2 linked regions of the Arabidopsis thaliana genome follow. The protein of the gene in region 1 interacts with the protein of each later gene in a pairwise test. Each region holds a gene or a part of one and is shown on either strand. Other genes may lie near its edges. The genes, in order: AT4G29780 and NDL1.

Region 1 (5,261 bases):
ACTTGTTGACTTCTGTATCCCACGTTTTTCTATCAACTAACCAAGTGAGCTGAGATCTTGGTAAGTATCTGGAGAAGTTTATGCTAGTTTGTCGTTCCTATATTAAGAATGTTTTATCAGACTTATATTTTATGTTTAAGAAGTGAAGTATCTTGAAAACCGTATGCTTGTTGTGGAACTCAGTTTGTGGTCTGAAATTAAGATTTGTTTTATGAGACTTTTATCTGTGTTTTAAGAAGTTGATCGCTACTACTTTCTAAAGATATATTTAGAATCTATCTGTTGAATGTGACACCAATTGTGAGGATTAGTATTTTACTATTTTAAAAGGGCAGGAGCATATTGAAGACCAAAAATTTGTTGACTATTGTAAACTGGCTAGTGGCTAATAGTCAACTGATATTGTGGCTATGTCAACGGTCAACGTGACGATTGGAACAGACAAAAGGCATGGTTCACTCCAAGCCCAAGTCACCGATTTATTTATTTATACCCAACTCAATTACCATACATAACTCAAAAGAGACATATGCCATTGCCGACTAGAAAAAAAAACGACTCTAAACTAAAAAGATAGAATTTCGTTTTTCTTGTATAGGTAGACTTTTATTCATCTTCACAACAACCAAATTTGGCTGCAAAGTATTTATAACGTTTAATTTGTTACGTTGTACTGCTGCGGTACAAATTTGAAGATTCTAAGAATGTCTTTTCATGATGCTGTTGAAACACGGATTAATGTTGAAGCTTTATTTTAATTGACATAAGAGTTTTCATGATATGCTACTACTACTACTACTAGTAGGAGGACAAAATGTAAATGTGTTAGATTCTCTTTTACAAATAAGGAAATAACAAATTTATGCTTATCCAGACTTATCCAAAAGCCAAAAATATCTACGCAATAGATAGTACTAATTTTGTGTATAATAAACATGAGATCTTTGGACAAGTAACTTCTTAAGACATAAATACACTATTTTGCATAAACAAGAAACTTGGCTTCCGTTTTCTTCTCATGAAAAGCTTATTTGCTTGCACAGCTCAGCTCAGAAGTCAGAATCAGAACTCGTAAGATACATCCCTCTCGAAGAGCCTACCATCTTTATCGCGTTACAACAAAATTACCAAAATCTGCCACTTCCAAGAAACTTCTGAGATCCTCTTCTGGAAACGTGTTTTTTCCTCAAAAGTAACAACAAAATAAGAAAGACACGAAAGAGCCTCATTATTTATTTAAACATATTAAGAATATTCCTATTGAAGACAAAGGCATACAAAGGCACCAACCATGCCCCCTTACCGCGTAAATCTATAAAAAAAACATACAAAATCAAATATAAACAACTAATAAGAATATTATTTTGGACTCGACGATTAAATGTTTTTAATTATTGTATTGTGTTGGGTTTTTTTTTTTTTTTTTTTTCTTTTTTAACTTTTACGCCAGAAATTCTACAATCCCTTGGAAGTTATTTTTACTTATAACTTCTTAGTCCAAAACATGATAAACGAAATTAACGTTCTCTCCAACGGCTAATTAAATAACCATTAAAAGTTTGAATTAACTACTTCAAATTTTAAATGTGTAGTTGGAAAAAATAATCTGAAAATGGATTGGTAAGTTCCTAAATAATCGACCAATTCTCTTCTTACTAAAACAATAAGCTAGAACAATTTTTTATAGACCAATTCTTTTTTTATTTTAATGAATCTCAATATAGTCAATACTCATACATAAAAAACAGAAAAATATAACCTAGTCACATCTATATAAAATAGAGCCAGTTTTTTTTTTTTTTTTTTTATAATCATAAGATAATAATAAGACTAGTAAACCAATTTCCTTTACTCATCAAATGTCATAGAAAAGACTAATAAATTAAACTCACAAGGATTTAATGCCAAATCTTCTAGTTGATATATATCTAAATCCAGTATTACTAAATTAGTTTGTACTTGCACTATGCATATCGAATCTAATATATATAAGGCTTAATAAAACATGTGTTTCTTTTTGTCTTTTATCAAAAACAAGATTTACGCGGTGCAATCTCAATAAAACAGTAACGAGTAAACGCTTTATCTAATCAAAAATAATAATAAAATAATCTGCAAAAAAGAAAGTCAAGTCACCGTCAAACCCATCCCGCTTAGCTTACCGCGTTCACACCTTCACGCGCTTCCTTCGTCCTTTGCGTCTCTCTCTATTTTTTTACAAACACAGACAAATAAACCTTTTTCATATATATATATCGTCTGAAACCAAAACCAAAACCATAAAACTCAAAAATCTTTGGTCTTCAAACTTCAAACACTTGAGAAAAAAGCTTTTGATTTCACATCTTAATCTAACAAGTCAAACACTTTTCAAACCACAAAATTCGTCAAAGCTCTGAAACAAATAAACATTTTTTAATTTCTCCCTTTTTAATGGAAATCTCTTCTTTCCCATTTCCATACCTACAAGACGACGAGTGTTCCCATTTCCTTGGTCTATTTCAAGACATGGACTCTTCTCCTTCTACTTTCGGATTAGAAGGTTTTAATAGCAACGACAATAATACTAATCAAAAGAAACGCCCAAGAAAAGACGACGAAGGCGGTGGTGGTGGCGGCGGAGGAACAGAAGTTCTAGGAGCTGTTAATGGTAATAATAAGGCTGCTTTTGGAGATATACTCGCGACGCTTCTGTTGTTAGACGAGGAAGCTAAACAGCAACAAGAACAGTGGGATTTTGAATTTATTAAAGAGAAGTCTTTACTTGAAGCTAATCATAAGAAGAAAGTGAAAACAATGGATGGTTATTACAATCAAATGCAAGATCATTACTCTGCAGCTGGTGAAACCGATGGTTCGCGTTCAAAACGCGCACGGAAAACCGCGGTTGCGGCTGTGGTTTCCGCGGTAGCTTCCGGGGCGGACACAACCGGTTTAGCTGCTCCGGTTCCGACCGCGGATATCGCTAGCGGTTCCGGGTCAGGACCGAGTCATAGGAGGTTATGGGTTAAAGAACGAACCACGGACTGGTGGGACAGAGTAAGCCGGCCTGATTTTCCAGAAGACGAGTTTCGGCGAGAGTTCCGTATGAGCAAATCGACGTTTAACCTAATATGCGAGGAGCTAGATACGACGGTGACGAAGAAAAACACGATGTTAAGAGACGCGATTCCAGCTCCAAAACGCGTAGGCGTTTGCGTTTGGCGTTTGGCGACAGGAGCTCCGCTTCGCCACGTGTCGGAGCGTTTCGGTCTGGGAATCTCAACTTGCCACAAACTAGTCATCGAAGTCTGCCGCGCGATCTACGACGTTCTCATGCCCAAGTATCTCCTCTGGCCGTCGGATTCAGAGATAAACTCAACGAAAGCCAAATTCGAATCGGTCCACAAAATACCAAACGTCGTCGGATCAATCTACACCACACATATTCCGATCATCGCTCCGAAAGTCCACGTGGCGGCGTATTTTAACAAGAGACACACGGAGAGGAATCAGAAGACGTCGTACTCGATAACAGTACAAGGAGTGGTCAACGCCGACGGGATCTTCACCGACGTTTGTATCGGAAACCCAGGATCTCTCACCGACGATCAGATCCTGGAGAAATCTTCGCTTTCACGGCAAAGAGCGGCGCGTGGGATGTTACGTGACAGCTGGATAGTTGGAAACTCTGGGTTTCCGTTGACTGATTATCTTCTTGTACCGTACACGAGACAGAATCTGACGTGGACGCAGCACGCGTTTAACGAGAGTATCGGAGAGATTCAGGGGATTGCGACGGCTGCGTTTGAGAGGCTCAAAGGACGGTGGGCTTGTTTGCAGAAACGGACGGAGGTGAAGCTTCAGGATCTGCCGTACGTGCTTGGAGCTTGTTGTGTGTTGCATAACATTTGTGAGATGAGGAAGGAGGAGATGTTGCCGGAGTTGAAGTTTGAGGTTTTTGATGATGTGGCGGTGCCGGAGAATAATATCCGATCTGCTAGTGCGGTTAATACGAGGGATCATATCTCTCACAATCTCTTGCATCGTGGACTTGCCGGGACAAGAACTCTATAGGCTCTGTTTTTCACCTTTTCTTATTTTGAAACTGATTTTTTATTGCAAATTCTTTTTCCAAATTAGGAATAAAAACATTTTAGGGATTGGTTGGATACAGAAAGAATAGTTGAATTGAGAGTAGAAGTGGCTGATGATATTGTTTGTGTTACTTATTAGCATTGTGTAATCTTTAGTTCATGTATTTTCTATACAAATTGAATCTGAAACCTCTTAAGTATAAGCTTCTTCTCTTTCGATTTTTCACAAAATTGGTCGACTAGAAAAAGAAGAAGCAATTCCACTTTTATTACAAGCTCAGGCTCAGACAGAAGTACAAGTGTACAACCATGAATAAATGGAAGTTGTACTTAATCTGTTTCGTTTGCAGGATCTTCCTTATCTATTGATGTGTTGAGCTCTTTGAGAAGGAATGCAAATTTGGAAGCATGTTTTCCTTTGTCATTCATTATTTGTGGGCTAAATGATACAAAGAGGAAAGCCATATGAACATGTTATTTACTGTCACATGGCGCACACAGAGGAAAAGCCATATGAAATACAACATTTGAATATGAAACTTGTTGGAACTTTTTTGACAAAACTTTTCCGGTGACTTTCCGGCCAAATTCCGGCCAAACGGCTGAACGGAATTGTAGGGTCATTAGTGCATTGGAAAGTTAGTAAAGAGTACTACAAAATGGTATACACATACGTCAAAAATGAAGTTGTATTGAATGAGAAATAAAGGTGTAAAGTGGGACACTTGGGCCAAACCGGACCGAACCGAACCAGGCTGCGGGTTGTCGGGACGTCCCGTCGTCGGCTCAAGGGCTTTCAGACTTGCGAACCGTCATACTTGTGAGTTATTGAGTTTGCTGAGTTGAATCTTATGGAAATATTCTCAGGATGGTCTCAAAATATTCTCAAGATAGTTTCAAAATATGTCATGTTTATCCTGAGAATGTTCTGCAAAATCTTATCTACTTCTACTATATAAAGAGATTCAACCTCTCATTATTTCTAAAACTCTCAAACACAAAACAGTCTAAATTCTAAAATCTCTCCTCTCTCTTGCTTTTTAAAAGTAATTTCTTAGTTTACTTTCACATAAACATAGTCATGATTCCATTGATTTAAAACTTAAAAGTTTCTAATCATGTTTTTTTTTACAAACGTGAATGTGGATTAAATGAGATTTCAATGGAAAGAAAACAAAGAATTGG
Region 2 (5,735 bases), on another chromosome or scaffold:
ATCTAATTAACGAAATATCAAATGAGGGCGTTTGGTCTAGTGGTATGATTCTCGCTTTGGGTGCGAGAGGTCCCGAGTTCGATTCTCGGAACGCCCCATTTGTATTTTTTATGTTCACACTCTTTTTGCCACTCTTTTTGCCAAATAGTCCATTTTTCCCAAAAGATCCATAACTTTAAGAACATGTAATCATTAACCAAAGTTAGTTATTCTTGGTGAATCTAGTTGACTTTGGGAGAGGAGAAAGAACCGATTTTAGTTATTCTTCCCCATTATTGAAGTCTAGTTCTCGGCCAAATATTCAACAACAAAAAATTGACTATTGTGAAAATTAGGCTTGTTTTGAAATAGGTCTAACTTAAGATATTAACCATAAATTCGGTTATTGTATTGTTGTTTGGTACAATGTAAACCGGTTACTAAACCGGAACACTCTACATATAAAGAGTGTTTCATGTAACAGAACAATTAAGAAGAATAACAAATTTTTCTCATCTTCTTCATTTCTCTGAATTCGTTCATCAACTATTATGGTATCAGAGTGATGGATCTCGAAGATTCATCCGATTCAACCTAAACTCTGAGTATCTTCGAGCTCTTGGATCTTCCAAACTCGTTGATTCTTTGTTTCTTCAATTTTCTACGTTTTCTGGAAAATTTCAGTTGTTTAGAGCTTCGTTGATCTTGCGATGGTTTCCGTAGAGAAATTGCGGCGTCGTACTAGAAGATCGAGCAAAACTTCAGCTGAGAAAACTCCAGATCGTGTTCAAGCTTCACCGATTCCACCGATTCCACCAATTTCGAATCCGTTTCAACAAAATTTCAATTCAAAACCATCGATCTATCCTTTACCACAGTTCGACTTCTCGGATGCTCATTATTCGCCATTCGCGCTCTCAAATGGTGAGTCCTGGGAATACACTTGTTTCTGAGGTACTTGATGGATCTAATTTCTCTTCTTGGAAGATTGCGATGTTTGTTTCTTTGAACGTTAAGAATAAGATTGCTTTTGTTGATGGAACTTTACCAAGACCTCCTGAATCTGATCCTAGCTTTAGAGTGTGGTCACGATGCAACAGTATGGTTAAATCTAGGATCCTTAATTCTGTTACAAAGCAGATCTATAAGAGTATACTTCGTTTCAATGATGCTGCAGAGATCTGGAAAGACTTGGATACTAGATTTCACATTACGAATTTGCCAAGGTCTTATCAGCTAACTCAGCAGATTTGGTCACTTCAAAGTTTTGCTTTCAATGATATCTCTTTCTCACCTTCGACTTTATGGTTACTATGTTCTCTAACGTCCTCTAGACAAGTGTTATCACAAAATACATGGATCATAGATAGTGGTGTTACTCATCATGTTTCTTATGATAGGAATATGTTTGAAAGCCTATCTGATGGTTTAAGATTAGTCCATTTCTAATTTTCTACTAAGATATATTTTTTCCAACTCAAAGTGAAAAAATTGCGAATAGTATAAATATACAATTGTTTATTAAATATTGATGTTCTTAATATTATTACATAAAAATAATTTTTTATATGTAATAGTATTTTTAGAAAATTTGGTTTCTCTTTTTTTTTTTAATAATAAAACTAAACAGTCTCTAAAAATTTATATTCGGTTTGCTTAATGTTAATTTTGTTGTTAACCAAAACTTCGCACCTCCCTTACTTATCCAATTATCAACATTTAATATTTGTTTACATTTATACAATTATCCAATTTATTTACAGCAATTTTTCCGAATTAGTATTCGACTGTTATTGGTGAAATTCGAGCTGGTTAATAATATTTATCAAAAATAAGTTTCTATAAATAAATCAAATTAAAAATGTTTCTTATTTTAAGTTTTTTGACCGTTCGCGTGTCATGTTACGACTACCGGCGTCTATGGAGAAATCACCGCAAAATTTATAGAGAGAGTAAAACGAAAGAGAAGAAAAAAAGGAAAACGAAAAAAAAACGTTTCTTTTTCCAGAGAGGTCTTAAGAGAGAGGAGAGAGAAAAGGCATCGCTTTGTATATAAGCTAAAGAAAAGCCAAAAAACAATCTAGAGGTTGGGAGAAGAAGAAGAAGAAAAGAGAAGAAGCTCTTGTTATCCCGGCGTTCTTAAAACAACGACGGCGACGGTGACGGCTAAGCGGAAGAGCTTTTGTTGCCAATGACGGACTCTTACGGCGCCGTCTCCGTCGACGTTGGAACAATCTATCTTGGTGGCAAGGTTTCATTCTTTAACCTTTGAACTCGGATCCGAATAAAGCTTTGATTTTTGTTTCTGGGTTTATCTTAAACTTGCTTAAATCTAATCTTTCTGTTGATTTGGGGAAGAACAGACATGTGGGCATTGTTAGATTCATTTGTTTTTGTAAAAAAAAGACTCATCTTTTGTTTGAATCAAATGTTCTTGGAGAAATTCTTTGCTTGTGGATTTGTGAAACTTCTTTTATTATTATGATTCATTTCCAGATGGGATTATTCTTGGGATCTTCTTCTTCTCTCTATTCAAAGATATCTTCTTCTTATTATTATTTTGTATTCCTTATTCTTTGTCTTATTGCCTTTTGATTTTTTTATCTTATAGAAAAAAGAAAAGAAAATGCCAGCTGTTTTTGTCTACCATTAACCTTTTGTTTAATAAGACTAATGCTTCTTTATTATCTCATTAAGACTCATATTAGCTCATCTTTTTTAAACTGTCATTCCCTTTTTATTAAAAAAAAACCACAATGATTAGAATTAGGCCATTTCTCTTTGGTTGTTGATGATCAAGTTTTTGGTTTTGTTTTTTTGCCCTTAAAAGTAGTAAAGCTGCACATGGAAAAGCTTTAACAGAGATGTTTTCTTTTTTGTGTGTGTGTTAATCAAAGCATTTCTTTTCCACCTAAAGTCAGTTGTCATATTCCTATCTTTAGTATACATTTACTAACGAGAAAATAGATTCATTGTTTACAAACACATGTTTTATGAATATGGAGTAGACAAATGGTATGGTTAAAAGTTTAGTTTTTTTCTGTTGGTTTCATGATCCGTTACTTTTGTTATAACTTGTTGGTTTCTTGTGTTCAGGAGCATCGTGTTAAAACTGCTAGTGGTGTTGTGTCTGTCATTGTCTATGGAGACAGAGAAAAGCCAGCATTGATTACTTATCCTGATTTAGCCCTAAACCGTAAGGCTAAAGAATCTCTATAGGCACTAATGTAATGGCTAAATTTATTAATGTTTTTGTTGTTTCTTCTTCAGATATGTCATGCTTCCAAGGGTTATTCTTCTGTCCTGAAGCAGCTTCATTGCTGCTTCATAACTTCTGCATTTACCATATCAGTCCACCTGGGCATGAGGTCCAATATTTTAGTTTCTCTTTTTTTAACTTGCCGTATGCTTTGCTTGACGTGATTACTTACTCACATGACTTCTCTGTTTTCTTGCAGTTAGGAGCTGCTCCAATTTGTCCTAATGATTCAGTCCCTTCTGCTGAAAACTTGGCAGATCAGATCCTTGAAGTTCTCAACTTTTTCGGGTAACGATGGAATCCCTTATTTTTGGCTTATTGAAGTTCTCAACTTTTGTTTTTCGGGTAACAATGTATAAGCTTTTTGTTCAGCCTTGGTGTTGTGATGTGTATGGGAGTGACTGCAGGTGCTTATATCCTCACCTTATTCGCGGTATGTTCCTATTTATTTTTCTCTTCTCATTGCCCATTGCTTCAGAAGAATACTGTGTTTATCATCTCTTCTATGTTTTAAAACTTTTCAGATGAAACATAGAGAACGGGTTCTTGGTTTGATTCTTGTCTCACCGTTATGCAAGGCGCCGTCTTGGTCTGAATGGTTTTACAACAAGGTTATCACAAACTTGTTATATTATTACGGAATGTGTGGAGTGGTAAAGGAATTTTTGCTTCAGAGATATTTTAGTAAGGTGTGTTCACTGCAGTTACCATTGCTCTCTCTCTGCACTTGTTGCATTTCCAGACTTCTCTTATTTAAACCGGTTGCAACTGCTTGCTACAGGAAGTCCGTGGTAACGTTGAGATTCCAGAGTCAGATATAGCACAAGCTTGCAGAAGAGTCAGTGTTTATCTCTTCTGTTGTTTTTCTGTTTCATCAATAGATTGATTTTACTGTATCAGTGATTCACACCTTGCACTTTTGGTGATTGTCTCAGCTGCTTGATGAAAGACAAGGCATAAACGTTTTGCGATTTCTTGACGCCATTGACCGGTAACACAACAAACACCTCGAAATCCTTTACCTTAGAAGCATTCATTCATTCATGGTGTCAAATATTGACTTTTCTTTAACTTTATGCAAACCAAACCTTTGCTCTTGCAGGAGACCTGACATCTCAAGTGGATTGAAGAAACTAAAATGCAGGACACTTATCTTCATCGGAGATCAATCTCCTTTCTACTCAGAAGCTGTTCACATGGCAGCAACTTTGGATAGAGGATACTGTGCTTTGGTTGAGGTTTGAGAAAACGAATCCTCATCCTTTGTACTTTACATATAAACACATGTTTGGTTTTCTTGCTACTAATAGATGTTTTCTTGGAAATATTATCAGGTTCAGGCTTGTGGTTCAATGGTAACAGAGGAGCAACCACATGCAATGTTGATCCCAATGGAATATTTCTTGATGGGTTACGGATTATACAGACCATCTCTTTTCTCCGAGAGCCCTAGAAGTCCACTTAGCCCTTCTTGTATTTCACCTGAGCTTCTCTCTCCTGAAAGCATGGGATTAAAGCTTAAGCCTATCAAAACCAGAATTTCGGCGGCTTAAGTGTGTGTGCACTACTGATTCATTGGTTCTAATTTTGCTGAGGAGAAGAAATCTTAGGGCTTTTGTAGATATAGAACAATACTAGGGAGATTTGAGAAGAAGAAGACGAAGAAGAAAAATTCAAGCCACCATCATATAACACATTCTTTTGTAGTCAGCCGACACGACAGTTCTCTTGTTAAGATGCCACAAAATGTTGTTTATTATTTCATTTTTTTATACATATGTAAAATGTTCTGTTCTTGTGACATTGTAACAATTGTTTTGTGACGAACTCTGCAGAAGCAAGTAATAAAATTCATTTTGCATTTTGTTTTTGGTTCTCTAATTGGCCTTACAAGCACATTGATTTCACCAAGTTAGAATCTGGTTTTTGCTTAATATTGATATTTAATGGTTTAACAGTCTTGATCCTGAACTATTTGGATCATCAGATTGAAACTTTTTAGTCTGAATTGAATTGTAAATGGAAATGGAGACCAATCCTTCTTTGCAGAAGCCGTAAGTTATATACTGATATAAGATACGCATAAGGATTAGTTGCGGTTGACGAAAACATAGTCCCTCATGAACCGGGGTAAAGGCGAAGAATGCTTCACTTAGTCTGAACAAGTTCAATGCTCCTCGATGTTTGTCAAGCCCGTAAAATGGATGCAGACAAGTGTAAATCCGAGCCAAACCCGAATACAAAGTAGAAGAAGTGTATAAACTCTTGGATAACTAATGATTGAATAATAACATCAAATTAAGGCCATTTCTTGTATTGAACATCGTAAGATGTTTTGTAAATTACAAATACAACAAAGCTCACTTACCTCAGCACCTCTCTATAAGCGAATGGTCAGAAAGTTTTTCACTTTCAAAACCACAGAAACAATTATAACAACAACTTTATATGATGTAATCTGACCATTCCGAGATGAATGAAGTATGATCCATCGATT

Evidence for each region.
Region 2: the proteins of AT4G29780 (region 1) and NDL1 interact in a two-hybrid assay, tested with the Arabidopsis thaliana proteins (one large-scale study listed by BioGRID).

What each region holds. Positions count from the first base shown.
Region 1 is NC_003075.7:14,577,426-14,582,686, forward strand, and holds AT4G29780 (nuclease), read left to right. Parts: upstream 1-2,137; 5' UTR 2,138-2,433; coding exon 2,434-4,056; 3' UTR 4,057-4,632; downstream 4,633-5,261. Other genes in the region: AT4G29770 (target of trans acting-siR480/255 protein), read left to right, coding at 1-40.
Region 2 is NC_003076.8:22,955,816-22,961,550, forward strand, and holds NDL1 (N-MYC downregulated-like 1), read left to right. Parts: upstream 1-1,813; 5' UTR 1,814-2,170; coding exon 2,171-2,230; intron 2,231-2,693; exon of another isoform or gene 2,694-2,991; coding exon of another isoform or gene 2,992-2,994; intron 2,995-3,075; coding exon 3,076-3,175; intron 3,176-3,249; coding exon 3,250-3,347; intron 3,348-3,437; coding exon 3,438-3,526; intron 3,527-3,610; coding exon 3,611-3,671; intron 3,672-3,762; coding exon 3,763-3,927; intron 3,928-4,019; coding exon 4,020-4,076; intron 4,077-4,173; coding exon 4,174-4,229; intron 4,230-4,340; coding exon 4,341-4,476; intron 4,477-4,572; coding exon 4,573-4,791; 3' UTR 4,792-5,101; downstream 5,102-5,735. Other genes in the region: SERAT1;1 (serine acetyltransferase 1;1), read right to left, coding at 5,683-5,735. UniProt on the Arabidopsis thaliana protein: Interacts with the heterotrimeric G protein beta subunit GB1 and plays an significant role in GB1-dependent regulation of lateral root formation. Involved in a signaling pathway that modulates root auxin transport and auxin gradients.